2 linked regions of the Macaca fascicularis genome follow. The protein of the gene in region 2 interacts with the protein of the main gene of each other region in a pairwise test. Links are inferred from orthologs where the notes say so. Each region holds a gene or a part of one and is shown on either strand. Other genes may lie near its edges.

The links.
Region 1: the proteins of AGTRAP (region 2) and SENP2 interact in binary tests that used the Homo sapiens proteins (3 or more experiments, as listed by UniProt). The two-hybrid records come from large-scale screens. The link is inferred for Macaca fascicularis from reciprocal best matches to the Homo sapiens genes AGTRAP and SENP2.

What each region holds. Positions count from the first base shown.
Region 1 is NC_088376.1:97,507,990-97,523,862, forward strand, and holds the start of SENP2 (sentrin-specific protease 2), read left to right. Parts: upstream 1-7,876; 5' UTR 7,877-7,907; coding exon 7,908-8,167; intron 8,168-11,586; exon of another isoform or gene 11,587-11,691; coding exon of another isoform or gene 11,692-11,792; intron 11,793-15,745; coding exon 15,746-15,801; intron 15,802-15,873. UniProt on the Homo sapiens protein: Protease that catalyzes two essential functions in the SUMO pathway.
Region 2 is NC_088375.1:223,065,908-223,081,930, reverse strand, and holds the start of AGTRAP (type-1 angiotensin II receptor-associated protein), read left to right. Parts: upstream 1-5,521; 5' UTR 5,522-5,597; coding exon 5,598-5,624; intron 5,625-16,023. UniProt on the Homo sapiens protein: Appears to be a negative regulator of type-1 angiotensin II receptor-mediated signaling by regulating receptor internalization as well as mechanism of receptor desensitization such as phosphorylation.

The sequences.
Region 1 (15,873 bases), on a different chromosome or scaffold from region 2:
TGAACCACATGGTATATAATGTAACCCATGAATTTCAAGAACAGGTAAATATTGATAAAACTATTCTGTCTCACCTGAAGGCTCTTGAAGCCGCTGTTCTATAGCTGGGGAATCAATAGCAGGCATTCATTACCCGTCAACATTTACATTGTGATTGGCAATATCATTCTGTATCACACCCCTGACACATAATAGCTTCCAATATGCTTGGGAGAGAGTGAAAGCACATCTGCAAGGGGCTTATCACCACCATTTGTGTTCTCAAATTTCCACTCTTGAGTGTGAATTAAAGAAACAACTTGAGGAATGGTCGCAGCAATTACAAACAAGTACTCTTCAGCAATTAGAAGAGGCTTTCAATGGTTAAACCCGAACACTTGGTTGTCTGGTTTAAATATATGCATTTGGATGATGGCTGTTGTACTTATTCTTTTTTGTATCTGTTTGCTAGGCATTTGCAGAAGGCCCTATACTGCCACCTGATGCATCTATGACCAGGGAAGAATGATAGAAGCTTGCCTTGCATGAGATGACCAGCAAGCTTTAAGAATTAAAAAAGGGGGAGATATGGGGGGCACATGGCAACATATTCAAGCTTATGTACAAGGCATTCGAGGTCGGGGCATGGAAAAATATTGAGGCGTTGTGTGTATGTTATTTGTGCATGAGAATGAAACTCGACCCTGAAAACAGGACAAGGAGTGGAGTGTGTGGTGTGATAAGGAATGCTGAAAACAGCCTCCTGAGAATGCAGTTTGAGTGTTTTTACAAGGCCACAGGTGCCTCACGACCCGACCTCAAAAAAGCCATCTAGTGGATGTATGTGGTTTAACAAGCCCTTTCAATAAATACTTGGCGGACAGATGCTAAGGTTGACTCTCTTAGAAGAGCTGCCCCCGCCCCCGCCCTGCTCAGCTGGAATTGTCTGAGAACTCATTCTTGGCGTTCACTGCAAGCTATAAGCTCTACACCAATACTTTGGGAGACCGAGGCAGGTGGGTCACCTGAGGTTAGGAGTTTGAGATCAGTCTGGCCAACATGGTGAAACCCTGTCTCTACTAAAAATACGACAATTAGCCGGGCGTGGAAGCAGGTGCCTGTGATCCCAGCTGCTCCAGAGGTTAAGGCAGGAGAAGTGCTTGAACCTGGGAGGTGGAGGCTGCAGTGAGCCAAGATTGTGCCACTGCATTCCAGTCTGGACAACTGAGTGAGACCCTATCTTAACAAAAAAAAAAAAAAGAAAGAAAAAAAATCATATATAGAGACATGGACACAAATCCTATAGGAGAACAGATGGGAAAGCAATGAGATATGGGGAATCCCAGACACCGTAAGCATTGTAAAAGTCTCACGGAGGAGGTGCCTTTGGGCTGGGTTCCAAAAACTAGGTAAGTGTTCATGAGGTACAGAAAGTGGGGGAAGGGCGTTCCAGGCAAAATGAAAAGACCAGGAGACATGAAGTCATGAAAGAAGTGCAGCTGGCCGGGCGCGGTGGCTCATGCCTGTAATCCTAGCATTTTGGGAGGCCAAGGCGGGCATATCACGAGGTCAGGAGATCGAGACCATCCTGGCTAACACAGTGAAACCCCGTCTCTACAAAAATACAAAAAATGAGCCAGGTGTGGTGGCAGGTGCCTGTAGTCCCAGCTGCTGGGGAGGCTGAGGCAGGAGAATGGCGTGAACCCGGGAAGCGGAGCTTGCAGTGAGCCGAGATCGTGCCACTGCACTCCAGCCTGAGCGACAGAGTGAGACTCCGTCTCAAAAAAAAAAAAAAAAAAGAAAGAAATAAAGAAGTGCAGCTTAAGGGTTTGGTGTGTATGAATAGGGAAATGATAAAGTAATTTGAAGATAGTCTGTGAAGAACTTCATAGCCTTGCTTAAGATATTGGATTTTACCTTCAGGGTGGTAAGAACCTGACCATCTTCTTGTTAACTCATTTATAAGTTAATATGTTTTATTATATAATAATACAAATGAATATAATATAATACATAATATATACTATACTACATGATATCAAATATAACGTATCTGTATGTTAACTTATTAACAATATACACAAAAAAAGTTGGTCATTTATTACAACACAAGAAGGAAAGGCTGGGCATGGTGCCTCACGCCTGTAATCCCAGCACTTCGAGAGGTCGAGGTGGGTGATCACCTGAAGTCAAGAGTTCAAGACCAGCTTGGCCAACATGGTGAAACCTCGTCTCTACTAAAAATACAAAAATTAGCCGAGCGTGGTGGCGCGTGCCTGTAATCCCAGCCACTAGGGGGCGCTGAGGCAAGAGAATTGCTTGAACCCAGCAGGTAGAGGTTGAAGTGAGCCCAGATGGCGCCACTGTACTCCAGCCTGAGCAACAGAGGGAGACTGTCTCAAAAAAAAAAAAAAGAAGAAGGAAAAATCTATTTAAGATTAAAATCTGACCCGACGTGGTGGCTCACGCCTATAATCCCAGCACTTTGGGAGGCCGAGGCGGATGGATCACTTGAGGTCAGGAGTTCAAGACCAGCCTGGCCAACATGGTGAAACCCCATCTCTACTAAAAATACAAAAATTAGCTGGCTGTGGTGATGTACACCTGTAATCCCAGCTACTAGGGAGGCTGAGACAGGAGAATCATTTGAACCTGGGAGGCAGAGGTTGCAGTGAGCTGAGATCATGCCATTATGCCATTGCACTCTAGCCTGGGCGACAGAACAAGACTTCCTCTCAAAAAAAAAAAAAAAAAAAAAAAAAAAAAAAAAAAAAAGATCAGATGGGCGTGGTGGCTCACGCCTGTAATCCCAATACTTTGGGAGGCCAAGGCGGGCGGATCACCTGAGGCTGGGATTTCGAGACCAGCCTGACCAACATAGAGAAACCCCGTCTCTATTAAAAATACAAAATTAGGCCGGGCATGGTGGTTCACACCTGTAATCCCAGCATTTTGGGAGGCCGAGGTGGGAGGATCACCTAAGGCTGGGAGTTCGTGACCAGCCTGACCAACATGGAGAAACCCCATCTCTACTAAAAATACAAAATTAGCTGGGCCTGGTGGCGCATGCCTGTAATCCCAGCTACTCGGGAGGCTGAGGGAGGAGAATCACTTGAACCCCGGAGGGGCGGAGGTTGTGGTGAGCCAAGATGGTGCCATTGCACTACAGCCTGGGGCAACAAGAGTGAAACTCCGTCTCAAAAAAAAAAAAAAAATCAGCCGGGCTGGGTGGCACATGCCTATAATTTCAGCTACTCCGGAGGCTGAGGCAGGAGAATCGCTTAAACCCAGGAGGCGGAGGTTGCAGTGAGCCGAGATCCTGCCATTGCACTCCAGCCTGGGCAGCAGGAGCAAACTATTTCTCAAAGAAAAAAAAAGATTAAAATCTACTTACAAAGTATTGTTCATGGCACAGAGCTACCATGACTTCCTTACAGACAATGTATCAAATACGATCAATTCAAGTCCACCCTGTCAGTTACTGCTTGTTTTTAGAGCAGCTGTACAGAACATTTCAAGGAGAGATGGCTCTAACAAGACCAGTATACACACTAGTAAGACAGAGACAAAATGCCTTTTCTTACTGAAAACTCACTTTTTAAATTTGTTTTTTTTTTTTTTTTTTGAGACGAAGTCTTGCTCTGTCTCCCAGGCTGGAGTGCAATGGCACGATCTCTGCTCACCACAACCTCCGCCTCCTGGGTTCAAGTGATTCTCCTGCCTCAGCCTCCCAAGTAACTAGGATTACAGGTGCCCGCCACCATGCCCAGCTAATTTTTTGTAATTTCAGTGGAGACGGATTTTCACCATGTTGGCCAGGCTGTTCTTGAACTCCTGACCTCAGGTGATCCTCCTGCCTCGGCCTCCCAAAGTGCTGGAATTACAAGTGTGAGCCACCATGCCTGGCCTAAAATTTTAAAGTAGAGAGGGGGTCTCACAATGTTGTCCAGGCTGGTCTTGAACTCCTGGGCTCAAGCAGTCCTCCTGCCTTCACCTCCCAAAATGGAATTACAGGCGTGAGCCACCACATCTGGCCTACTAAAAGTTTTTTTTTTTTAATTTAATGCATCCCACTGAAAAGTTTTTTTTTGGTTTTGTAATTTGTTTGGTTTTGTTTTTGTTTTGAGACAGGGTCTCACTCTGTCACCCAGGCTGGAGTGCAGTGGCACAATCTCGGTTTGCTGCAACCTCCACCTCCCAGGTTCAAGTGATCCTCCCACCTCAGCCTCCCCAGTAGCTGAGACTACAGGCCTGAACCACCATGCCCAGCTAATTTTTTTTTTTTTTTTTTTTTTTTTTTTGAGACAGAGTCTCACTCTGTAGCCCAGGCTGGAGTGCAGTGGCACAATCTCAGCTCACTGCAACCTCCGCTTCCGTGGCTCAAGTGATTCTCGTGCTGCAGCCTCCTGAGTAGCTGGGACTACAGGTGTGTACCACCATGCCTGGCTAATTTTTCTTTTTGTATTTTAGTAGAGATGGGTTTCACCATATTGCCCAGGGTGGTCTTGAACTCCTGAGGTCAGGTGATCCACCTTCCTCGCCCTTCCAGAGTGCTGGGATTATAGGTGTGAGTCACTGCGCCTGGCTGCTAATGTTTGTATTTTTAGTAGAGACTGGGTTTCACCATGTTGGTCAAGCTAGTATTGAGCTTCTAACCTCAGGTGACCCACCCGCCTCAGCCTCCCAAAGTGCTAGGGTTACAGGCATGAGCCACCGCACCCAGCCATAATTTTTATTTTGAGATGGAGTCTCACTCTGTCACCCAGGCTGGAGTGCCACCCAGGCTGGAGTGCAGTGATGCAATTTTGGCTCATCACAACTTCCGCCTCCCAGGTTCAAGCAGCTCTCCTGCCTCAGCCTCCCAAGTAGCTGGGATTACAGGCACGCACCACCACGCCCGGTTAATTTTTATATTTTTGGTAGAGATGGGGTTTCATCATGTTGGCCAGGCAGGTCTTGAACTCCTGACCTCAAGTGATCCTCCCACCTTGGCCTCTCAAAGTGCTGGGATTGCAGATGTGAGCCACCACGCCCAGCCTGAAAAAGTTTAAATAAATAAATAAATAAAAATTTGAGGGAAGTGTTCAATTAGTGCCACATATTTTAAATGTACTTGGATCTTGAACTGTTATTTTAAAATATTATTTTTAGGGCCAGATTTCTGTTGTTATTTTTACTTAACTGGCTTCCCGAGCTTTGGTCATGAAACTGGGAGCCTTTGTTAGACAATTGTTTCCTGTGGCATGCATGAAGGGCTGTCTCTCCACATGAGAAGCAAGTCTACGGAAAATTTCCATAATTTGGAAGGCTGATCCTTATGACGTTTCTTGGGCCATCATTTAGAACCTTCATGAACCATTGAAGGGGTTCATGCTCTTTCACTCTGCACGGCATTTCTCACTTTGAGGAATCCCTGTCTTCTGGCTGCTCCTAAATTGCGGCTGCTTCCAGAGATAACTGTCTCTCTTTTCTAGGCTCTCCCCAGGGCCATCCAAAGTTAATTTTAGGGTTGGCCAGGCACGCTGGCTCACACCTGTAATCCCAGCATTTTGGGAGGCCAATGTGGGCAGATGGGCTGAGCTCAGAAGTTCCAGACCAGCCTGGGCAACGTGGCAAAACCCCGTCTTTACTAAATATACAAAAATTAGCAGGGCATGGTGGCGAGGGTGCCTTTAGTCCTAACTACTTCAGCTACTTGGGAGACTGAGGAGGAAGGATGGCTCGAGCCCGGGGAAGTCAAGGATGCAGTAAGCCAAGATCGCTCCACTGCACTCTAACCTAGGTGACAGAGCAAGACCCTGTCTCAAAAGAAGAAAAAAAATTGTTTAAAGGTTGCCATATGCTCTATATTTTAAGTCAGACCACCCCAAACAAACCTCCCAAATTTGGTGAAAATCAATCCAACCATTTTTAGTCATTTGGTAATAGAAAAAGAGAAACTTAATTTATAAATTTACCTTTCTTAATAAATAAGAGTATAAAATTTAGTTCCTTAACAACAACAGAAGAACAAAAGACAAAAGACAACAAGAGAGATCATCCTGCAAACAGCATAAGTTAACAAGACGAAAGGCAGAAGCAGAAATGTCTATTGCAACCGTGTGAGAAATGATCAGCCCCTATAAAGGACTGTAGTTCTGGGCCAGGTGCGGTAGGTGGCTCACACCTGTAATCTCAGCACTTTGGGAGGCTGAGGTGGGTGGACCACTTGAGGCCAGGAGTTCATGACCAGCATGTCCAACATGGTGAAACTCCGTCTCTACAAAAAATACAAAATTAGCCGGATGTGGTGGCAGGCACCTGTAATAGCACCACTGCCCAGCCTGGGCAACAGACGGAGACTCTGTCTCAAAAAAAAAAAAAAAAAAAGGAAGGACTGTAGTTCTGATAGGTTTGGAAAGAGGAATGATACAGACCAGGCAAGTTAAGATTTATTAGATATGAAAAGGAAGGAGAGGCAAGAGAAATGTTAAGCATCAGCTAGCTGTGCTGGGCACTGACTAGGCCCTTCGTCTATATAAACACTTTTCCTTTTCTTCCTTTTCTTTTCTTTCTTTTCCTTTTTTTTTTTTTTTTTTTTTTTTTGAGAGGGAGTCTTGCTCTGACACCCAGGCTGGAGTGCAGTGGCACGATCTCGGCTCACTGCAACCTCCGTCTCCCGGGTTCAAGTGATTCTCCTGCCTCAGCCTCCCGAGTAGCTGGGACTATAGGCGCACGTCACCACGCCTGGCTAATTTTTGTATTTTTTTAGTAGAGATGGGGTTTCACCATATTGGCCAGCCTGGTCTCAAACTACTGACCTCATGATCCACCCTCCTCAGTGTCCCAAAGTGCTGGGATTACAGGTGTGAGCCACAATGCCCATCATCTTTTCTTTTCTTTTCTTTTTTTTTTTTTTTTTTTTGAGACAGTCTCCCTCTGTCGCCCAGTCTGGAGTGTAGTGGTATGATCTCGGCTCACTGCAATATCAGCCTCCCGGGTACAAGCGATTCTCATGCCTCAGCCTTCTGAGTAGGCAGGATTACAGGCACCCACCACCACGCCCGGCTAAATTTTTGTATTTTTAGTAGAGACGGAGCTTCACCATGTTGCTCAGGCTGGTCTGGAACTCCTGACCTCAAGTGATCTGCCCACCTTAGCCTCCCAAACTGCTGGGATTACAGGCCTGAGTCACTGCGCCTGGCTCACAAACATATTTAACTATCCATAGATCTGAGAGGCAGGTTTTATTAACTCCATTTTATAGATCAGGACGCAGGCTTAGGTAAGGTGTGGCGCTATGTCTCCATAGGAGGTGGGCTGGGCCATTTGCAGTCAATGTTGGCCAGTTTTATGATGAAATTTATGACACAAAAGGGGTGTATTCACCTTTGGTATAGTATGGCCCAGGTTATTATTGCACAGATTGAATAAGATCAGTCTTCGTGTGTTGTCGTGTTGCACTGGAGGGCTATCAAGTGTGACCCCAATATATTTTTTTCTTTTCCTTTTTCTTTTTTTGAGACTATAAATCTCACTCTGTCACTTAGTATTAGGAGGACACGTTTTTCTTAAGTACCAGAAGAGTTGGTACCTAGAAAGAAATTACTCTTCAGAGTGGTGAATTATGTTGGATTTTAGGCACATTAGGCCTAAGCCAACACGACCTCCTCTAGGCGCCCTTACCCCTTCCCACAGATGGCCTAGAATTCTTTTCTGTCCAGGGGTCAGGAAAAACAAAGTTGAGAAGAAATTCGTTAACGTTCTTTGAATGCTTTAAAAGGGGAAATTTGCAAGACTAAAGAATGGATTGGAGGGGAGGTAGGTTTGGAGGAAGAAGGGGGTGGGGCCCTGAAAAGGCTTCAAGGAGCTGCTCTCAGCTGGAAGGGGATAAGCATCTTCTTGGAGAACTGTGGCATCTGGTTGGAACACCTACAAAAGCTTAAGCAATGAGGTTGTGCCCCTCTTGCAGTACAAAGCTGAAAATTATCCAAGCCAAGGGCAGATATCTCAATGTCCTTGTTACTCCATATGGCCTTGGGATTCTCCTATGGCCTTCCAGTAAAGAGCTGCTGGGTCCTGGCAAGGCTGTGGCAGTGGTGGGGTTGGGGTTAAGGATAATCCCACTTGGCCAGTGGCTGGACAGTCACCCATGTCTCTACTGTGGACCACAGGACAGCGAAGGCACCAATCGGCAGACAAGTCCCAGGTGGGAGCGAGTATAAGGATGTGTCTCCTTTTCTTCCTTCTAGAGGGTAACTGAGAGGATATGGAGGGAGCATGCATGGTGGGAGGCTGAGGATTGCCACGTTCGTTTCTTGAGTTATTGTTTGCTGTTGGGGCCCTGGGATTCTGATTGAGATCTGTAATTCTGAAGCCTTCTCACTCTTCCTGGCAGATGGCCTGTGTTTCAGTATTGAGTTTGTAAGGGTGCTATTTATGAGGCAGGAAAAGGAAAAAAAAAATGTGTTGTTGTGTTGCACCTCAGGGCTATCAAGTGTGACCCCAATATATTTTTTTCTTTTTCTTTTCTTTTTTTTTTTGAGATTATAAATCTCACTCTGTCACTTAGGCTGGAGTGCAGTGGTGAAATCACAGCTCACTGCAGCCTTGACCTCCCACCTCAGTCTCTCAAGTAGCTGGGACTACAGGCACATGCCACCACTCTTGGCTAATTAAAAATAAAATTTTTTTAAAGACAGGGTCTCCCTGTGTTGTCCAGGCTGGTCTCAAACTCCCTGGCTCAAGTGATCATTCGGCCTGGACCTCCCGAAGTGCTGGGATTACAGGCATGAGTCACCACACCCAGCCTACCACAATATTTCTTAAATCTCAGTGGCCAGACCTGGAATAGGTTGCTATTCAAAAGCAGCTTGTAGTTTTTGTTTGTTTGTTGTTTGTTTTGTTTTGTTTTGTTTTATTTGAGACAGTCTCACTCTGTTGCCAGGCTGGAGTGCAGTGGTGTGATCTCGGCTCACCGCAACCTCTGCCTCCGGGTTCAAGCAATTCTCCTGCCTCAGCCTCCAGAGTAGCTGGGATTACAGGCACGCGCCACCACGCCCAGTTAATTTTTAGTGGAGACGGGGTTTCACCATGTTGGCCAGGATGGTCTCGATCTCTTGACCTTGTGATCTGCCTGCCTCAGCCTCCCAAAGTGCTGGCATTACAGGTGTGAGCCACCGTGCCCGGCAGCAGCTTGTAGTTTTCTGATTTATGTGTTTTTTTTTTTAACTTGGAAAAAAATCGTTCTCTTAGGACGTATGATTTGTGTTTAAATGAAGACTGCTCTTTTATTTGGGAGAATCCTCTCCCAGTACTTGAGCGGGCTTCTTGGTTTGGCAAAGGCAAAGCCCAACACTCATAGTGAGTGGAAGGGACAGACGTAACTGAACTGCTCTGCACAATAATGCCAATGGTTGTCTTTTGTTAATAGGAGTCCTGACTCTGATTACATTTACGGGGAGTCCAGCCTGAAATATGTCGGGATAGAGGTAGAGGGAAAAGTCCCTTCTGTTGACAGCTTGCCAAAGGTGTTAAAAGTAAAGGGATGGCCTTGAGGTGAAGAGAATTCCTTTGCGAGACAGGCCAGGGACTATAGATGCTGCATAATCTAATAGCCACTTCTAAGTCTTCTCAGCTTTGTAATGCCCCAAACTTTCAGCAACAGCCTGGTTGGTGTTTGCTATGCTTAGGGGAATAAGGGAGGGGGCTGTGTCCACACTTAAGATTTGCTTCCATCCTCTAGGATATGACCCCAGCCCCCAGGCCAGAGTGGTGGTAGCTGCAGGTGTGTGGCTGGTGATTCTGAAGCTCTAGGTGGTGGCTTGCAGCAGAATTCTGGAATTTTTTTTTTTTTTTTTTTTTTTTTTTTGAGACAGAGTCTTGCTCTGTTGCCTAGGCTAGAGTGCAGTGATGTGATCTCCGCTCACTGCAACCTCCACCTCCCAGGTTCAAGCAATTCTCCTGTCTCAGCCTTACAAGTAGCTGGGATTACAGGAGTGTACCACCATGTAGCCACCATTAGCCATGTCTGGCTAATTTTTGTATTTTTCTTTTTTAGTAGAGATGGGGGGGTCTCACCATGTTGGCCAGGCTGGTCTTGAACTCCTGACCTCAAGTGATCCGCCTGCCTTGGCGTCCCAAAATGCTGGGATTACAGGCATGAGCCCACCACACCCGGCCTGGAATGCTGTCTATTGAGGAAAGGAAGAGGCTGAACTGGGGAATGCCAGGGTTGAAGTTCAAGCAAGTGTAAAACTCTGGCCTTAACTGAATCACGAGTAGGAAACAAGTTAGTCAGGAATGGATTTGTGGGGCATGAAAACCTTTGAGGATTCTCAGGATTGTTTGGAAGAGGGGACTGAATTTTCTGTCACTAAGTAGGGTGGGATTTGTTTTCAGTTGGTAATTTTTTGATGGGGTGCGTCAGGGTCCCACTCTGTCACCCTGGCTGGAATGCGGTGGCATGATCACGAGTCAGTGCCGCCTCAACCTCCTGGGCTCAAGCAATCGTCTCACCTCAGCCTACCAAGTAGCTGGGACTACAGGTGCATGCCACCACACCCGGCTAATTTTTGTATTTTTTGTAAAGACGGGGTTTTACTATGTTGCACAGACTGGTCTCAAACTCCTAGGCTCAAGCGATCTGCCCACCTCAGCATCCCAAAGTGCTGGGATTAAGGGCAGGAGCCACCGCGCCCGGCCTATAGTTGACAATTAACTAGAAATGTGACGTTGGAATTATAGAGGGAGGGTAACGAGACTCATTACTAGCGCAGGGTAGGAGACATTAGTGGGCCGCAGGTTTCATCCTTAAATTTCTGTGAAGCCTTTCTTGAGGACATCTGTCCTTTCCTTCTCGCCCTCAGTGTGTGGTTTTCCTTTCTCTGGCTCCCACTGCACTCTGCACACACCTTTATCACAGTAACCACTTACAGTGTATTGTAACTTGTAATTATCTATGTACACGTCTCCAAGTAGACTGACCTCAAGGGCAAGGGACTGGCGCTGGTACTCAGACCCCGGGTTCAAGTTCCAGCTGCATCTCTAGCTAGTTTTGTGATCTTAGGCAAATAACTTAATCGCTCTATGACTCAATTTCCTTGACTTATAAAATTGGCATAAGACTGTCATATGCCGTTGCTGGGCATATTAAGGTTACAATGCATGAAAAGTACGAGGCAAAAGGTAAGTGCAAAATAAAGGGCGCCTAAAACGGTATTTGTGTGTTAATTAACCTGAGCTACCTTTACGTGTGCACTCAGCAAACACTGAGCACCTATTCTCCTCTGGGACCCTGGAACGCCTCCTCCGGTGTGGAGCAGCCTCACGTGAGGCCTGTGGGCCTTGTCCCACGGGCCGGCTCGGGATTGGCTCAGCCGAAGAGAAAACCCTGCCGACAGCCCTTTCGATCTCGTCAGCGATTGGGCCGGGACCGTCCCACAATTACTCTTGTTGCTGGGCTCGGAAATAGGTAGCGGTGCTAGGTTGCGCGTGCGCAGATTGAGAATGGAGCTTTCCGGTCGGGCGGGAGGAGGTGACGTCAGGAGTGGTGGCGGGCGGGGGCCTCTGGTAGCCCTGGGGACGCTGTATCTGTGGGCCCTTCAACCGCGTCACAAATCAGCGACCGAACTCTGGCGGTGGTGGCTGAGACGGCGAAGGCGGCAGCGGCGGCGACAGCTCTGGGGTTTGCGTCTCGGGGTGTGTCGGCCGCCGCTGCTGCTCGGGCCTGGTATGTACAGATGGCTGGTTAGGATTCTCGGCACCATTTTCCGTTTCTGCGACCGGTCGGTGCCCCCTGCCCGGGCCCTCCTGAAGAGGCGGCGCTCAGACAGGTGAGACCAGAGGGGGCTGAGCGCCGGCCTGGCCTTACCCCCTCCCCCACAGCAGGCTCCTCGGCCGTGATAGCTTTGATTCAGCCAGGCTCACCCGAAGCAGGTCGCCGGGATCCTAGTGACGTAGTCGTTCCCGCCGGGCTGTGGGGAGGCAGCTCCTGATGAAGGAGGAGCTGGTCGTCTTCGGAGCGGCCGGTGATGGCAGGGTCTTTGACATTCTTGTCAGAGGCCAAGCTGGTTGCTGATAACAAATGGGGCTTTGCCGCTCTTAGGCTGAACACTAACATTGAAGGAATACTGTCTTTGTTGTGGCTCACTGTTTACAAAGCACCCTCCCAAGTGTCATCTGCAGACATTAAGTGCAGTTAAAGGAAGTGAGATTCATAGCTTGCCCAAAGCCGTTTTGACTGCAAGTACTGTCCTTGCAGCAAGAAACAGCAGCTGTTTTCTTCTAAAACAGCTGTCAAACAGTCTGTGTGTTGGGGGCCAGAAGGGTTTTGTGCTTTAGAATTAGTGAATGAGTAAAAAGGCTTAGGTGCCTCACTCCTTTAAAACAATCACTAGTCTGTACTTTTAAATTCGGTTAAAATGTGGGGGAAACTCAAAGCTGTTCTTTTCTTTCTTTTCCTTTTGGTTGAGACGGAGTCTTGCTCTGTCGCCCAGGCTGGAGTGCAGTGGCGCGATCTCGGCTCACTGCAAGCTCCGCCTCCCCCCTCCCCCCGCCCCCTCCCTGGGTTCAAGCGATTCCCCTGCCTCAGCCTCCCAAGTAACCGGAATTACAGGCGTGCACCACCATGCCTGGCTAATTTTGTGTTTTTAGTAGAGATGGGGTTTCACCATATTGGCCAGGCTGGCCTTGAACTCCTGACCTCAAGTGATCCGCCCACCCCAGCCTCTGGAAGTGCTGGGACTGCAGGCATGAGCCCCTGCACCCGGCCCCAAAAGCTGTTCTTATTTAGCATCTACTCTTTGGAGTGTCCCATTTTTATTGTATCGACCTCCTTGCCTGAAAATCTAGAAAATAAAATACTATACAAATGCTGTGCCCCTCTCCAACTTTAGTGATCAAATGTTAATTTCTTTTTTTTTTTTTTTTTTTCCGGAGACGGAGTCTCGCTCTGTCCCCCAGGCTAGAGTGCAGTGGTGCAATCTCGACTCACTGCAAGCTCCGCCTCCCGAGGTCGCGGCATTCTCCTGCCTCAGCCTCCCGAGTAGCTGGGACTACAGGCGCCCAACACCACACCCAGCTAACTTTTTTTTTTTTTTTTTTTTTTTTTTGAGACTGAGTCTGGCTCTGTCGCCCAGGCTGGAGTGCAGTGGCCGGATCTCAGCTCACTGCAAGCTCCGCCTCCCGGGTTTACGCCATTTTCCTGCCTCAGCCTCCGGAGTAGCTGGGACCACAGGCGCCCGCCACCTCGCCCGGTTAGTTTTTTGTATTTTTTAGTAGAGACGGGGTTTCACCGTGTTAGCCAGGATGGTCTCGATCTCCTGACCTTGTGATCCGCCCGTCTCAGCCTCCCAAAGTGCTGGGATTACAGGCTTGAGCCACCGTGCCCGGCTAACTTTTTTTTTTTTTTTTGAGACAGAATCTCATTTTGTTGCCCAAGCTGAAGTGCAGTGGCACGATCTCGGCTCACTGCAACCTCTGCCCACTGGGTTCAGGCGATTCTCCTGCCTCAGCCTCCCTAGTAGCTGGGATTACAGGCTCCTGCCACTGCACCCAGCTACTTTTTTTTGTACTTTTTAGTAGAGATGGGTTTTCACCATCTTGGCCAGGCTGGTCTTGAACTCCTGACCTCGTGATCCACCCACCTCGGCCTCCCAAAGTGCTGGGATTACAGGCGTGAGCCACCGCGCCCGGCCACGCCCGCCTAATTTTTTGTATTTTTAGTAGAGACGGGGTTTTACCGTGTTAGCCAGGATGGTCTGGATCTCCTGACCTCGTGATCCACCCGCCTCGACCTCCCAAAGGCTGGGATGACAGGCGTGAGCTACCGCTCCCGGCTGTTAATTTCATTTTTTTAACTAAGCCTCAATATCAAGAAAAGTGGAAGAAGTGTTCATTTGTGGGAGCTTGAGAGAACAAGATGTCTAATACATTAGACTGAGAATGCAGGTTATTGATGAGATTGGTTGTTAACTAAATTGTATCATGTGTTCCAGAGATTCATGGTTTTGCCTTATTTTTCTCTCCTATCTTTCTGTAGGGTTGATGTGAGGATCATTTGATAATGATCATTTGATGTGGTGTAAAGTGCCTAAACTGATGCTTACTGTATATAAGGGTAGTGTTTGTCTATTCTACCCTGGGGCCTTTTGCAGAGTCTGGTGCATGATAAGCACTTGGTCCCTATTTATCGAATAAGGGAAAGCTAATTTCCTCTCCCTTGTCCTGTCTTTGATGTGAATCCCTGCTAGTCGGTGGAACATGGTTTGGTGATCAAAACCTTGATTTTTACTATACTTCAGATGTTCACATTCTTAATCCAAAACAACGCTTCTCGGTGTAAACCATTTTTCAGTCAAAATGAAGCCCAGCAGGGCTTGTTGGAATGTATAAAGCTGAGTTGAATAAAATCCTGGGATCTCATTTTATTCTATTCTTTTTTTTTTTTTTTTTTGGCATGTGTGAATATAATTGATCAGAAGGGTTCAGAGAGATGATAAGTAATATGATATGACCCTTTACCATTCTTGACATCTGGGTCCTGAAACTTTCCACAATTCCAAAGTTCTTTATTACCACCATAATATAGTTTGCGTGATAAAAATGAAGTTAAATATAACCCTTGATTAAGATTTGTCTTTTTTAACTTGTAGAAGTTTTTTTTTTTTAAACTCCCTTACACACAAAAGAAAAAACAATAAAAAAGAATTGTCTTTTAAGGCCGTTCATATTAATACTGTCACTTAAAGTAAAAGATGACTTTCTTTGGGGATCATTTCAAAAGGAAATTGTTTGTTTGTTGGTTTTTTTTTGAGACAGAGTCTCGCTGTCTCGCCCAGGCTGCAGTGCAGTGGCGCGATCTCGGCTCACTGCAAGCCCCGCCTCCCGGGTTGACGCCATTCTCCCGCCTCAGCCTCCGAGTAGCTGGGACTACAGGCACCCGCCACCACGCCCGGCTAGTTTTTTTTTTTTTGTATTTTTAGTAGAGACGTGGTTTCACCATGTTAGCCAGGATGGTCTCGATTTCCTGACCTCGTGATCCACCCGCCTTGGCCTCCCAAAGTGCTGGGATTACAGGCTTGAGCCACCGCGCCCGGCCTGTTTGTTGCTTTTAAATCATTTCTAGAGTGAAAGAGAAAATACTAGCCCTAAACTCTTACCTGGATTCATTTACTAGCTAAATGACTTTGGCCAGTTTTAAGTTTGTACTTTAACCAGATGCAAATTATTATTTGTTAAGAAGTTTGGGTCTCTCTCAAATAGTTGAAACTGTAGCAGTAAGTCTTCAAATGTGAAAAACCTACTATAGAATAGCATTCTCTCTTTTATTTTGCTTTTATTTTTATTTTTGTTTCTTTTTGAGACAAGGTCTCACTCTTGATTAGGCTGGAGTGCAGTGGCATGACCTGGGCTCACTGCAGCCTCAACTTCCTGGGCTTAAGTGATCCTCCTGTCTTAGCCTCCCGTGTAGCTGGGACCACAGTCTCGTACCACCAACGCTGGCTAATTATTTATTTATTTATTTTTTCATAGAGATGAGGTCTTACTTTGTTGCCCAGGCTGATGTCAAACTCCAAGGCTCAAGCAATCCTCCACTTTGGCCTCCCAAAGTGCTGGGATTATAGGCATGAGCCATTGCGTCCCACCAGCATTGTCTTTTAAAACATCAGTTGGATCTCATTTTATGACAAAGTGACAGAAGGGGGATGTGTTATATGAATAGTAAGTTTACATAAATGAATGTGTGCATAAATATATATATATTTTTTTTCTTTGTCTCTTTCAGCACTCTGTTTTCTACAGTGGACACTGATGAAATACCAGCCAAAAGACCAAGATTAGGTACTGAATATAAATTTTAAAAATTTTTAAATAGGAAAAATAAGGCCGGGCGCGGTGGCTCAAGCCTGTAAT
Region 2 (16,023 bases):
AAAAACAAAACGGTTATACTGGGGACTGGAAATACGGTTTCTACTGAACACAGATCGCTTTCACACGGTTGGAAAGTAGAAAAATCATGTCAGACCATTGTAAGTTGGGGAGTGTCTGTACTCACTCAATATATGACCCCAAGCCTTGTGGAATGCCACGTGGGGGTCTATTATGTCCTTCCATAGCCAAGAATAGGTCTAGCAGGAACTCCGGTTCCTTTGAGGATACCGACAGTTTCACTTTCTTTTGTTTCTCCATCCTCCCCCATCCCCCCCACCCCACCAGCCTGCCAAGCCCGCCCAGCCAGCAGGGTCTTCTCGTGCCCTCCTCTCTCCGTCTCTGGCCCCAGCTGGTCGAGATGAATACAGCGTCAGTGTCTGAGCCACAGGGATATTCCAAGGTCCAGCCTTGTGAAGCCTTCTGATCCTTGTCTTCCCTGCCTTACTTCGCTCTATCCTTCTCATTTCAGCCCTGGCTGGATTTTCCTGCTGTGTGGTTACATGTCAGGGTCCTGGAGCCAGACCTCCTGGGTCCCACCCCAGTTCCAGCAGCAATTAGTGCTGCGCCTGTGGCAAGTTGCTTGTTTCTTTTGATTTCAGCTGCCTTAGTGTAAACAGGAATAAGAACAGCACGTGCCATAGTGTCGCTGTGAGCATTTACTATGAAGCACTTTCTTCTTTTTTTTATTTTTGAGACAGGGTCTCGCTCCATCTCCCAGGATAGAGTGCAGAGGCGCAATCTCAGCTCACTGCAACCTCCACCTCCTGGGTTCAAGCGATTCTCATGCCTCAGCCTCCCGAGTAGCTGGGATTACAGGCACCCACTATCATGCCCGGCTAATTTTTGTATTTTTAATAGAGGCAGGGTTTCACTATGTTGGCCAGGCTGGTCTCAAACTCCTGACCTCAGGTGATCCACCCGCCTTGGCCTCCCAAAGTGCTGGGATTAGAGGCGTGAGCCACCGTGTCCGGCCCACTGTGAAGCCCTTTCACACTGTCTGCCACACAACAACTACGGTTGGGGCTTAGAAAATGTCACCCCAATATCTGGCACTTTGGCATACTAAGTACTGTAAACTAAAGAAGACTGGAGGCCTCAAAAGCAAGGTCTCTGTGACCGCCTCCTGACCTCCTGTCTCCAGCCCCTCCTTCTCCCCTGAGGCAGTCACAGAACAATAATTCCTCCTTTGGCCGGGGTGGCTCAAGTCTTTAATCCCAGCACTTTGGGAAGCCGAGGCAGGTGGATCACTTGAGCCCAGGAGTTTGAGACCAGCTTGGGCAACATGGCAAACCCTGTCTGTATAAAAAATACAAAAATTGGCCGGGCGCGGTGGCTCAAGCCTGTAATCCCAGCACTTTGGGAGGCCGAGGCGGGCAGATCACAAGGTCAGGAGATCGAGACCACAGTGAAACCCCATCTCTACTAAAAATACAAAAAAAAAATTAGCCGGGCGCGGTGGCGGGCGCCTGTAGTCCCAGCTACTCAGGAGGCTGAGGCAGGAGAATGGCGGGAACCCGGGAGGCGGAGCTTGCAGTGAGCCGAGATCGCGCCACTGCACTCCAGCCTGGGCAACAGCGTGAGACTCCGTCTCAAAAAAAAAAAAAAAAAAAAAATACAAAAATTAGCCAGTCATGGTGGTACGTGCCTCTAATCCCAGCTATTCAGGAGGCTGAAGTGGGAGGATCACCCGAGCCCAGGAGGTTGAGGCTGCAGTGAGCCATGATAACACCATTGCACTCCAGCTTGGGTAACAGAGCAAGACCATGTCTCAAGAAAAAAAAAAAATCCTTCTTCTCCAAGGTGGGTCACAGAAACTAGAACCTGTGTCTCCAAAGTAGCCATAAAACCTAGAAAGGTGGCTCTCCCCCTTCTCTCCTTGAAGACCTCATTACAGAAAGGTTCTACCCTGTAACCAGGAGGAAGGAATGCTGCATGGAGAGGCTAGGAAGACTCTGGACAAGCCTTGTTCATTCTCTTTTTACCCAACTGCATTGCTACAGGGCTGTTCATTCTTTTTATTTTTTTCTTTTAATTTTTTTATTTTGATTTTATTTTAATTTTATTTTTATTTTTATTTTATTTAAAAAAAAATCTTTTTTTGAGACAGAGTCTCACTCTGCCACCCAGGCTGGAGTGCAGTGGCATGATCTCAGCTCACTGCAAGTTCCACCTCCCGGGTTCACACCATTCTACTGCCTCAGCCTCCCGAGTAGCTGGGACTACAGGCGCCCACCACCACACCCGGCTAATTTTTTTGTATTTTTAGTAGAGATAGAGTTTCACCATGTTAGCCAGGATGGTCTCGATCTCCTGACCTCGTGATCCACCTGCCTCGGCCTCCCAAAGTGCTAGGATTACAGGTGTGAGCCACCGCGCCCGGCCTCAGGGCTGTTCATTCTTCCTTGAAACTAAGCACAAAAACAGACAGATTTCCCTGGGACTTTGAGTCTTCATCTCTGAAGCCTCCCATGTCACATAAAGCTTTGCTTAACTAAACTTGGTATGCTTTTCTCTTGTTAAGCAGTTTTGTTTTTTTTTTACAGGCATGTCAGCTGTGACCTTTATGATGGGTGAGGAAAGGTATCACACCCTTCCACCCCTACAGTACTTAGTAAATGTCAGCTTTAATCCTAGGAGTTGTTTTGCTTTTTTTTTTGTTGTTTTGACATGGACTCTCACTCTGTTGCCCAGGCTAGAGTGCAGTGGCATGATCTCAGCTCACTCCAACCTCCACCTCCCAGGTTCAAGCAATTCTCCTGCCTCAGCCTTCCAAGTAGCTGGGACTACAGGTGCACGCCCCCATACCCAGCTAATTTTTGTGTTTTTAGTAGAGACAGGGTTTCATCATTGTTGGCCAGGATGATCTCAAACTCCTGACCTTAAGTGATCCACTGGCCTCAGCCTCCCAAAGTGTTAGGATTACAGGCATGAGCCACCGCGCCCGGCCTGTTTTTCATTTTCTCCTTACAAAGTGATCACAATTTTATTATATACCTAAAGGCTTGGATTAAATCCCTCTAGAATCTGGAGTGTATGAGAAATATTTTTTAGAAGGAAATTGATCAGGTCAGGCACTGTGGCTCACGCTTGAAATCCCAGCACTTTGGGAGGCCGAGGCAGGCGGATCACCTGAAGTCAGAAGTTTGAGATCAGCCTGGCCAACATGGCAAAACCCCATCTCTACTAAAAATACAAAAATCATCTGAGCATGGTGGCACTTGCCTGTAATCCCAGCTACTCAGGAGGCTGAGGCAGGAGAAAAGCTTGAACCTGGGAGACAGAGGTTGCAGTGAGCTGAGCTCACACCGCTGCACTCCAGCCTCGGTGACACAGCGAGACTCCATCTCAAAAAAAAGATAAGTAATAATAACATAATATTCTAATATTGATCACTTACTGAGAAATTACTCTCTTCTAAGTACTTTACTGATAACAATGATTAATTACCAATAATGAACTAATAATAATAGCAACCAGTCCTAAATCAAACTGGATGTAGCCATTTGGCTGGTCTCTAATTTACCCACTCATTACAACGGCAGATGTTGGATGGCCCTTCCCCCTAGACTGGGGGCATCTGTGCCTCCTAAGAGGGTATTAAGTTAGGGCTATGGGCCCTGCAGCCCTGCAAAACTCTCCTCGTCCATCCAGAGAAACCCTTTCTTTGCATTTGGAGAGACTATGGGACTTAATAATATCTAAGGACTCACCCAGGCAGTTTTGTAGGTTCTCACCTGGTTTCCCCCATCCTAGGAACAAGACCAAGTGCTCAGGTGTACCCTGAAGGTGTCCATACCTAGGTGACACTAAACAAAAGCTGGTGTTCTCTAAAGGAAAGTAGATGTTAGGAAGGGACCTGGAGGTAGTGTGGATTAATGTTCTTGTTGGGGTGGGGGGATGCTGTGGTCAACAATCTTTAAGAGAGGTGCCAGGCGAGGCAGGAGACAACCCATTCTTTCCTCATGCACAATTGGGGGAGGAATTTCTTTTTTTTTTTTTTTTTTAATTTTTTTGAGACGGAGTCTCGCTCTGTCGCCCAGGCTGGAGTGCAGTGGCGTGACCTCGGCTCACTACAAGCTCCATCCCGCTGGGTTCACGCCATTCTCCTGCCTCAGCCTCCCGTGTAGCTGGGACTACAGGTGCCCACCACCACGCCTGGCTTTTTTTTTTTTTTTTTTTTTGGATTTTTAGTAGAGACGGGGTTTCAGTGTGTTAGCCAGGATGGTCTCGATCTCCTGACCTCGTGATCCACCCATCTCAGCCTCCCAAAGTGCTGGGATTATAGGCGTGAGCCACCGCGCCGGCAGGGGAGGAATTTCTTATGGTTTTTCAACTAGAGTTTTCTAAAACTTTTGGTATGCTGATTAAAGTGGGCTCCCACTAATTTGGCTCCTCAGGTGTTGTTTTTTGTTTGTTTGTTTGTTTGTTTTTCCCAGACAAGGTCTCACCCTGTCGCTCAGGCTGGAGTGCAGTGTCATGCAGCCTCCGCGGTTCAAGCGATTCTCGTGCCCCAGCCTCCTGAGTAGCTGGGACTACAGGTATGCACCACCATACCCTGTTAATTTTGGTATTTTTAGTAGAGATGGGGTTTCACCATGTTGGCCAGGCTGGTCTCGAACTCCTGAGTTCAAGTGATCCACCCACCTTGGCCTCCCAAAGTACTGGGATAACAGGGGTAAGCCACTGCGCCCAGCCTCCTCTTATGTTGATAATAACAATAGCTTGTGTGTCCTGCCCATTTACTAAGTGCCAGGCACTGTTCTCTCCTAGACCAAACGGTAGTTAGGCTCCTCTGAGTCCTCAGCTTGACTAGGCCTTGACTTTGGACCTCTGTGTCTTCCTGTCCTTGCTGGGCCTGAGCCTGCATAAACCAGTTTCAGCAAGAGTCCTGCTAAGTTAGCAAGAACTCCCCCTTCCTTGATGTCTCCTCCCAGGAATCTTCCATCCCTGGTTCCCTCACTCTGCACTTTAGCTATAAATCCCTCCTGGGTCCTTGTTGTATTCAGTGTTGAGCCCAAACTCTCACTCCATGGCAATAACCCTACAGCAAGTCTTGAACAGTACTGGTTTAACTGTCCCAATAACGTTTTCTTTAGCAACAGCGGTTAGCTCATTTACTCTCACAAGGATCATATGAGGTAGGTATCCTAAATAGCCCATTTACACAGGGAAGTGGGAAGGAGAGAGGGTGCCCCCAAGGACGAGACACAAGCTGTTGCCACATCAGCACTTTGCGCCTGGACGGTACCCCAGTTGTCCTGGCTGCAGGCAGTCCCCACAGCCCGCTTCCTGGAGTATTAGCCAGGCAAGATACGCCCTGGGCGACAGAAACTCCGACTTTTGCCAGAGGCCCCCAGGTACTGCCTGGGCGGTGGCGGGAGCCTGGAGCTTGGCGGAAGGCGCGCCTGCCGACGCCGTCTCCTAGCAACCGAGCGGCGGTCACGTGACCCGCTCCAGCCCGCTTCACGTGGTCCGGAGCGGCGCTGGGGTTGGAGTCGCCGCAAAGGGCGGGGCGGGGCCGGGCAAGTTTGTTCCCCGAGTTCGGAGCCCAGGAGCCCCCGCGGCTGCCGCGCAGGTGCCCTCGGCCTGGGTCGAGATGGAGCTGCCTGCTGTGAACCTGAAGGTGGCAACGGGCTGGGGATGGGGGGTCCCCTTTGCGGGAGGAGGTGGGACATTTGCATTTTCCAGGAAGGTGGGAGGATCGGGAGTTTGGGGGAAAGAGGGATGGGAGGAAGGGAAGGTACAGACCTCACGCGAGAAGGAGGTGGGCAGGCAGGCCACAGCAGGGAGAGTGAGTCAGGCACAGGCCAGCAGGGCGACGCAGAGGGGCCGTTGGAGGTGGCAGAGGAGGGCAAGGGCCGCCCCTTCCCGGACTCAGACCCTCCAGCAGGCAGCGCTGGTCCCAGGATTGCTGTTGCCCGCATGCCCAGAATTCCCCTGGAGGAGGAGGAAGGCGCGCGGGAGGGGCTTGGAGGCGGCTCACCTCCCCCGCGCGGGGTCAGGGACTGGGCCTGCCCCCGGATCCCAGCACCGTCCCAGGACCTCCTTATTTGCTAAGTCGGGTTCAGGAAATCTGATGTTCCCAAGCAATTGGTTTTATTTTATTTTATTTTATTTTGTTGAGACAGAGTCTTGCTTTGTCGCCCAGCCTGGAGTGCAGTGGCCGGATCTCAGCTCACTGCAAGCTCCGCCTCCCGGGTTCACGCCATTCTCCTGCCTCAGCCTCCTGAGTAGCTGGGACTACAGGCGCCCGCCACCTCGCCCGGCTAGGTTTTTGTATTTTTTAGTAGAGACGGGGTTTCACCGTGTTAGCCAGGATGGTCTCGATCTCTTGACCTTGTGATCCGCCCGTCTCGGCCTCCCAAAGTGCTGGGATTACAGGCTTGAGCCACCGCGCCCGGCCAGCAATTGGTTTTATAAAATTTACACGTCCAGCGCCCTTATTTCATAATGAAGAAGCACAAACTCCCACAGAAATTACTTAAAAGCAGAAAACCCCAACTTTGTGCACTGGGGAAAACGTTGCAGGGCTTCCTGTGGTGTCTTCATTTCCCGAGCCAAGCCGTGAGCTCAGTCCGGGTCTGGGTGCCAGCGGCTGTTCTTCTTTTTCTCCCCACCCAGCACCGTCGCCCACGTGTCTGGGCTCCGTTTGCATGAGAGGGGCTAGGAGCTTTAGCTTTGGTCAGGAAGGTGTGGACCTTGGACCAAACCGGCCATTTTGGGTCTTAGTGCATCCTCCTTTGAGGCAATATCTAGGAATGTCCTCTTACTCATAAGTGACGAAGCATTTAGCTCCCTGTTGGTGTCTGGCAGTAAAGGAACCTGAGAGATAGATGGTTACAAAACAATGGCTTAATACACTTTATTACACAACATCTGTGCTGACTTGCCATGGGCCCGTTTCCCTTCTTAATCATACTTGCTTCAGCAAACCTTCCTGAAGCTTCCAGTCCACGGTGGTGGGGAGACATGGCTGGAGCAGGGAAATGGGCTTGGGTGGAACATTCAGCTGGGAAGAAATTTACGTGACAGCAACCGAAGTTTGTTGGTATCAGTACCCACTCTATTCCAGGCAACATGGGGTTAACACCAACTGCCTTTTCTCTGATGAGGGATTTGCTTAAAATAATTGCTGAGAGAGGATCAGGTGAGGGCGGTGGGAGGGATAGAGCTCTCATTTATGGGCTTCTGTGGTGTGCCAGGTTATATAATCAAGGCAGCCTTATGAGAAAGCTGATGTGGTCATCTTTTTACAGATGAGCAAACTTCAGCTTAGACTGGGTAAGTTGCCAAGGTCCCACAGGCAGTAAGTGGCAGTATCAGGATTTGAACCCATAGGGCTCAGACTCCAGGGCCAGGTCCTTTCTGGGGTACCAGCTTAGTTAGGGCTGACTTTAACCTTGGCTGTTTCTGTCTTTTGGGAGGGCTTAGTCTCTTAGGGGCTTTTTTGAGCAACTTTTTAGGCCCGACAGGCTAAGCGCATCCACAAGTATGAGCTATGCTGGGCAGCTCAGCCAGGATGAAAAGGCTGGTCCTCCCCTTGACTTGGCAAACAAGATCCCCCATCTCCAAGGGTGTCAGCCGCTACCAGTCAGAGACAACTAAGTGCTGGGTGGCCCTGAGGGGTCAGGGTTGCCAGGTCAGGTACAGGAGATCCAGGTGAATTTGAATTTCAGGTCAACAACGAACAGTTTTTTAGTATGAGTAAGTCTCAGGCAGTATGTGGAATATATTAACAAATTATTCATGATCTCATATTGGGAATTAACTGGGTGTTCTGTATTTTTGTTTGCTGAATCTGGCCATCCTGTGGAGAGCAGCCGTTGACTCCTTGCTTGCAGGCACTTAGGGGATGTTCTGAGATCAGAGCCCTTCAGGAGGTGGGGAACTGCTCCCTGCGGCCTGCGCTCCCTCATTTTGTATATTCCTTGGGCAAGGGCTGAGTGCCCGCTTCTGCCCAGCTCAACCAGAGTGGGCGGTGGTGCCAGGTGAGAAGAAACAGCTGCCCCAGGCCCTTTGCACAAAGGGCAGCCCCTGACTGAGCCTTGTCCATGTAAGAATGACATTGTGGGCCAGGTGTGGTGACTAAGCCCTGTCCATGCAAGAATGACATTGTGGGCCAGGTGCGGTGGCTCACTCCTGTAATCCCAGCACTTTGGGGGGCCAAGGTGGGTGGATCACGAGGTCAGGAGATCAAGACCATCCTGGCTAACATGGTGAAACCCCGTCTCTACTGAAAATACAAAAACAAAATGAGCCGGGCATGGTGGTGGGCACCTGTAGTCCCAGCTACTCGGGCGGCTGAGGCGGGAGAATGGCATGAACCTAGGAGGCATAGCTTGCAGCGAGCTGAGATCGCGCCACTGTACTCCAGCCTGGGCGACAGAACGAGACTCCGTCTCAAAAAAAAAAAAAAAGAAAAGAAAAAGAATGACATTGTGATGAGCTTAGAAAGTACTGGACTTGGGTTCAGAGGTCTTGTGGGAAGAGGACCTTGGGAGGAGGATCCTTTGGTCTAGCAGGTAGTGTAGCATTAGGGTTAAGAACTCAATAATGAACTCAGTAATGAGGGATGCAGGGCTGACTTCCTGACAGGCACTGTGTGGAGCGCTTTCCACACCTCTCCACCTCCCTGTACCACTGGATCCACACAACACTGAAGAAGGCATTATTGCCCTGCTTTACAGAAGAGCAAACAGCTGTTCTGAGAGGTCAGGTGACTTGCCCAAGGTCATTAGGTTCTAAAGTCATGGAGCCAGGATCAGATCCACCCGTTTGCCTCCAGCACCCACGAAGTTAACCGCTGCACGACTCTGCCTCCCATCTGTGGCAGCCCTGACTGGTGTCCCGGGACCCCGGCCACCCTGGGGGATCTCACTAGCACATGTAACGGGCCACCAAGTGTTTGCACAGGCCTGGTAGGAGTATATTCCATTTCTGGGAAGTCCTACCCCGCCATGGGTCCTCTAGTGGCAAACAAAGGGTTGAAGTCTTGGTCTTCATGCCTCGTTGGTTTCTCTTCGACCTTTCCTTCTCCAGGTTAGACTTCCTTATTTCCATCCGCCCTCTACGGCTCTTCGAGATCCTGGCGGTGTAGCACAGTGGACAGAGCACAGGCTTTGCGGGCAGGCAGGTCTGCATTCAAGGTCTTGAGTAGGTTTCTGTGTGACCTTAAGTAGGTTTCTGAACTCTCTCAGTATCAATTTCTTCCTTGTAAAAAGAAGATAAATACAGTCCCTACCTCCTAGGATGATGGATCCCATGGTCCAGGAGGTAGTCTAGAATTAGGGTCACAAATTCAGGCTGGGCCAGGCATGGTGGCTCACGCCTGTAATCCTAGCACTTTGAGAGGCCCAGGCAGGTGGATCACTTGAGGTCAGGAGTTTGAGACCAGCCTGGCCAACATGATGTAACCCCATCTCTACTAAAAATACAAAAATTAGCCGGGTGTGGTGGTGCTCGCCTGTAGTCCCAGCTACTCAGGAGGCTGAGGCACCGAGGATCACTTGAACCTGGGAGGCAGAGGTTGCAGTGAGTTGAGATCGCACCACTGCACTCCAGCCTGGGCGACAGAGCAAGACTCTGTTTCATAAAACGGACAAACCTCCGGCTGGATAGATCGAATCTAACATTTGTGTCTGGGCTCTGTTGTTTGTAAGCTTTATGAATATGGGCCACTTTACTTAATCTCTCAGAGCCTCAGTTCTACCCCATACAGTTACACGGATGACATGAGTTAGGTGCAGTGCAGGTTAGATGCATGGCAGGCAGGTGCTTGTCAGTAGCAGGAGTTGCTGCTCTTGTTGACGATACAGGATCCCTGTCCCACATAGGTATTTAACAGTTAGTAAACGGATACTTACAGTGGCCGTCCAGACAGATGCTTGTCTCTGGCAGTTGAGGCACCCTGTGGGACAAATGGGTACTGCCTCCATTTCGCGGAAGGGAGCCTGAGGCCTTGGTGCCTGGACCAGCACCCAGGTCTTCTGTTCCAACATAGCATCCTGGGACCCTCTGCTGCCTTGGCCCATTGACCCCTGTCTGGGAAAGAGCTGGGCGGCCTCCCCTGGGCTGAGCACTGTAGTGAGAGTCCAGGGGCTGAGGTCCGTCTTTCCTGCCCAGCTGGGAAAGGGGTCCTGGCCCTGCCACCCATTTAGCTCAGGTCCTTCCCCTGCTTCCAGCTCCTCTTTCAGGCAGTACCTGAGAATCCTGTTTCTCTTTGGCTACCAGGAAGCTCTCCCAGGGCCAGCAGACAGTGCTTTTGTCCCGACAGTTACTGGCCCCTCTTTCCCTGGGCTGCCAGGAAGGGCAGGGCCCGTTTGGCTCAGTTTCTCCCTGGAGCCTTCCTGCACATTAAGGCCTCTCTGGGTGTCCTCCTGTTACAAAGATGAGGAAACTGAGGCAGGGGAGGCTTAGGCTTCTGGACATTTCTTTTCCCAGGGACTTAAGAGAAGCACATGGTGCTAACTTTCTTCATGTTTATCAAACCAAAGTGACATCACGCAGAAGGGACTGTGTGTGTTCTAAGGATCTGCAGTATTTCCAGGTTACATCGTTTTCTTCCCTAACAGAGATGGCAGAGGTGTGGACCCAGCTGGGTGCCCACTGTGTGCTACAGGCCCTTCCAGCGCTACGAGGTCTTTATCTCACAGGTTGTAAGCGTGACCCTTGGGGTGCCCTGCAGATCAGCGGCCCCCGTGGGACTCAGCCTTTCATGCTAACTGCATTCTCTCCAGAATAATCCAGGGCTCTGCAGGGCCCATTTATTAAAGACCTTTTGTGTGCACAGTCTAGGCATAGGAGCCAGAGCATTGAAAATGAAGATCATTTCCAAAACAAGCCCAGAGTGGGAAGAGTTAGGTGTCGATTTGGGGGAGGAAAAGGGCGATGGGAGCTACCTCCCCTCTGTCTCTTTCCTCGGTGTCTTCTTTAAGTCTAAAAGCTAGATGTTGGGACCACTGTGGCCGACTGCGCAGTGTGGCCCTGAGCAAGTTCCTTTCTGTCTGTGGTCCGTGGTTTACTATCAGACAGAGGAGACAGCGGTTAGCTCTGAAGATAAAGATCAGAATCATCCTCATGCCCAGCCCTGCCTGCCCCCAACTTCCTGTCCCTCCCTCCTCTTCCTTCCACTCACCTTCCACTCCAGCCACACTGGCTTCTGTTCAGTTTCCAGAAAGTTCCATGCCCCCCTTCTGCCACAGAGCCTTTGTGGGTGCCATCCCTCCTGCTCAAAATGCTCTTCTTCCCCTTCTGCCTCCCCCATCCCTTCCTCAGAGAAGCCCCTGACCTCCCCACCCTCCCAGCCTCCCTGCTGTTCAATTAGGTGCCCTTTAGCTTGCTATAGCTTTCCTTCAGGATGAGGGTTCACTGCACCTCCACTGCTAGGGCAGAGTACCTGGTTAGCGATGTTAGTCCTGAGAGCACAGCTCCAAATCTGCTCTGCACACCTCTGACTCCCCAGGGTGGATGAAAAGCAGGTGCCAGTGATGCTGGGTGACACTGAATGTTTAAGAAACTTAACACCATTTGATCACTTCAAGCCCCTAGGAATTGAAATCCATGGAAAACTATACCTCCCCGCCTCAGTTTCCCCATCTTTGTAATGGGGAGAGGCCTGATGGCTGGACAACACAGCCTGGGTCTGAGTCCTGGCTCTGCCATTGGCCTGCTCTGTGACCTTGGGCAAGTGACTTCCTTCTGAACCTCAGTTTTCTCAGCTGTAAAATGGGGATAATAAGACCTCAGAGGATTGTGAGGATTTAGTGCTTTTATATACAGAAAGCACTTAGAATGGCACCTAGCACGTAGGGAGTGCCCAATAGTAGACGAAGGTAGGTGAGGCGATGGCAAAGATCCCTTCTAGAGCTCGCCTTCTGTAAACACACTACTCAGCCTGGTCAGAGTCTCGAGATCTTCTTTTTTTTTTTTTTTTTTTTTTTTGAGATGGAGTCTCTCTCTGTTGTCCAGGCTGGAGTGCAGTGGCCGGATCTCAGCTCACTGCAAGCTCCGCCTCCCGGGTTTACGCCACTCTCCTGCCTCAGCCTCCCGAGTAGCTGGGACTACAGGCGCCCGCCACCTCGCCCGGCTAGTTTTTTGTATTTTTTTTTAGTAGAGACGGGGTTTCACCGGGTTAGCCAGGATGGTCTCGATCTCCTGACCTCGTGATCCGCCCGTCTCAGCCTCCCAAAGTGCTGGGATTACAGGCTTGAGCCACCGCGCCTGGCTGAGATCTTCTTAAAGTTTTGTGCGTCGGTCCTTACAGAATTATTTTCCTAGTCTTTTGGAGCTGGGAGAGGAATTTCTTTTGGGCCACAGAGCCAGGCCCCTTGTGGTTCACTCTGGCCCCCGGTCCTGGAGGTAAAGGTGAAGTATCTCAGCCTCCAGCTCTGGATTCCATCTGCCCCATGTGTGAACCTTTCTCACAAGCCCAAACAGTTCCCAGCTGAAGGCCCGCGTCCCCAGCGGGGAGGTTGGGTGCACTGGGTTTGGAGGTGGGTTTGAAATTTAATTCCAGTTTTGCCACTTGCTACCTGTGGAGTCTTGATCAACATAATTTATCTTTGAATCTTGTTTTCTCATCTGTGAAATGGGAATAATAGTATCTGTTCCAGAGGCTGCTGTGAGGTCCAGATAAGGTCATGTGAGACGGTTGGCATAGGGCCTGGCACATAGTTGGTGTGTGGTCAAAAGTAACTCTTCTAGAAATGTTTTTTCTCCTCTGCCAGAGCGAGTTTGTCTTTCTTTCTTTTCTTTATTTCCCTCTTTCCTTTCTTTCCCTTCTTTCCTTCCTTTCCCTTCCCCTTCCCTATCCTCTTCCCCTTCTCCTTCCCCTTCCCCCCTCCCTTCCTTCCTTCCTTCCTTCCTTCCTTCCTTCCTTCCTTCCTTCCTTCCTTCCTCCCTCCCTCCCTTCCTCCCTCCCTTCCCCCCTTCCCCCTTCCCCCCTTCCCCCTTCCCGCCTTCCGTCCTTCCCCCCTTCCTTCCTTCCTCCCTCCCTTCCTCCCTCCCTCACTCCCTCCCTTCCCCCCTTCCCCCTTCCCCCCTTCCCTCCTTCCCTCCTTCCTTCCTTCCTTCCCTCTGTCCCCCAGGCTGTAGTGCAGTGGCCCGATCTTCACTCACTGCATACTCGACCTCACTGGCTCAAGTGATTCTCCCACCTCAGCCTCCCAAGTAGCTGGGACTATAGGCGTACTCCACCATGCCTGGCTAATTTTTTGATTTTTTGTAGAGATGGGGTCTTACTTTGTTGGCCAGGTTGTTCTCGAACTCCTGGGCTCAAGCGGTCTTCCCCCTCAACCTCCTAGCGTGTTGGGATTACAGGCGTGAGCCACCGGACCCGGCCCGGAGTTCTTTTTCGCAGGTGGTGAGGGCTCCTTCTGCCTTTTCACCCAGGCTGGAAACCCCGGCCTTCTTCGCAAACCTTGCCCGTGTCTGTGCCAGCACGCTGCCTCTGCCCCAGGCGTGTGGCGTCTCTCCCTTCCAGCCTGCCCCCTCGATCCCTTGAGTAAACTTCTCCTAGGGCCCTCATTGACCACCAGGCCTGTTGAAGCTTCCAATTTGGGGCTTCCGGCCTCCCCAAAATCTCTGTGCCACCCCACCCCCACCTCAACCATCTCCACGCTCACCGCCACCCACGCAGGGCCTAGGGCTCGGCCCCACCTTTGCTTGGCTGAGCCCTGCTCATACTTTGTGCTCAACCCAGGTCCCTCCTCTTTGGAAGCTCTTGCTGCAGCTGCCTGCCCTCCCGAGGCATCTGCTTTTTTTTTTTTTTTTTTTTTTTGAGATGGAGTCTCACTCTGTTGTCCAGGCTGGAATGCAGTGGCCTGATCTGGGCTCCCTGCAACCTCTGCCTCCCAGATTCAAGCAATTTTCATGCCTCAACTTCTGGAGTAGCTGGGATTACAGGTGCCCACCACCACGCCTAGCTAATTTCTGTATTTTTAGTAGAGATGGGGTTTCACCATGTTGGCCAGGCTGGTCTCGAACTCCTGACCTCAAGTGATCTGCCTGCCTTGGCCTCCCAAAGTGCTGGGATTACAGGCTTGAGCCACCGCGCCCGGCCCATCTGCCCTTTTTTTATGTGCTTTCCAGTCAGGGCCTTGTTGATGTCCTGGAGTAGAGACCAGTTCCAGGAGAGGAGGCTGTTATTTTAAGGACATAGAGGGCATTAAAAAGGGTAAAATATTGTAGTCAGGTGCAGTGGCTCCTGCCTATAATCCGAGCACTTTGGGAGACCAAGGTGGGTGGATTGCTTGAGCCCAGGAATTTGAGACTAGCCTAGTTAACATAGGGAGACCTCATCTCTACAAAAAAAAAAAAAAAAAAAAAATAGCTGGGCCTGGAGGTACACACCTGTAGTCCCAGCTACTGGGGAGGCCGAAGCAGGAGGATCACTTAAGCCCAGGAGTTCAAGGCTGCAGTGAGCTGCGATGGTGCCACTGAACTCCAGCCTGACCCACAGAGCAAGACCCTGTCTCAAAATTAAAAAAGAAGAAAGTAGAATATTGCAGAAATCCAGAAGAATAGCCAGAGGGATTTTTGTTGTTGTTGTTTTTCGTTACCATAAGACATACCAAGCTGTCTCCCTGTAGAAAAGTCTCAGTGGCGTCCCTCACTGCACTTGGCATGAAGCCCACGCTCCTTCCCAAGGCCCTCAGGCCCCCCTACCTGTCCCCAGCCACCCTCCCTTTGCTGGCTTTCTCCAGCCACAACAGCTGCTTTCCCCTCTGCCCCCACACAGTGCCCCAGCTCCAGTGTCCCAAGAAATCACCCTCATGTGAGCCCCCACCCCACCACTCTGCCTCTTCTGATTTCAGAGCAGATTCCCTGCACTCCACAAAGGAGCCTCCCGCCCTTGTGTTACAGGAAGCGGGTCCCGATCCAGACCCCAAGAGAGGGTTCTTGGATCTCGCACAAGAAAGAATTCAGGGCGAGTCCATAGAGTAAAGTGAAAGCAAGTTTATTAAGAAAGTAAAAGAATAAAAGAATGGCTACTCCATAGGCAGAGCATCCCTGAGGGCTGCTGCTTGCCCTTTTATTTTTTTAATTAATTTGTTTGTTTGTTTGTTTATCTTTGAGATGGAGTTTCGCTCTTGTCCCCCAGGCTGGAGTGCAATGGCACGATACCGGCTCACTGCAACCTCCACCTCCCAGGTTCAAGCAATTCTCCTGTCTCAGCCTCCTGAGTAGCTGGGATTACAGGCGCACACCACCATGCCTGGCTAATTTTTGTATTATTTATTTATTTATTTATTTATTTATTTATTTATTTATTTATTTTTGAGACGGAGTCTCCCTCTGTTGCCCAGGCTGGAGTGCAGTGGCCGGATCTCAGCTCACGGCAAGCTCCACCTCCCGCGTTCACGCCATTCTCCTGCCTCAGCCTCCCGAGTAGCTGGGACTACAGGCGCCCACCACCTCGCCCGGCTAGTTTTTTGTATTTTTTAGTAGAGACGGGGTTTCACCGTGTTAGCCAGGATGGTCTCGATCTCCTGACCTCGTGATCCGCCTGTCTCGGCCTCCCAAAGTGCTGGGATTACAGGCTTGAGCCACCGCGCCCGGCCAATTTTTGTATTTTTTAGTAGAGACAGGGTTTCACCATGTTGGCCGGGCTGGTCCTGAACTCTTGACCTCAGGTGATCCACCCGCCTCAGCCTCCCAAAGTGCTGGGATTACAGGCGTGAGCCACCGCGCCCAGCCTGGTTGCCCATTTTTATAGTTATTTCTTGATAATACGCTAACCTAGGGGTAGATTATTCATGCCTCCCCTTTTTAGACCATAAGGGGTAACTTTGTGACGTTGCCATGGCAGTTGTAAACTGTCATGACGCTGGTGGAAGTGTAGCAGTGAGGACCACCAGAGTTTACTCTTGTGGCCATCTCGATTTGGGTGGGTTTTAGCCAGCTTCTTTACTGTAACTCATTTTGTCAGCAAGATCTTTATGACCCGTACCTTGTGCTGACCTCCTATCTCATCCTGTGACTTAGAATGCCTTAACTGTCTGTGAATGCAGCCCACTAGGTTT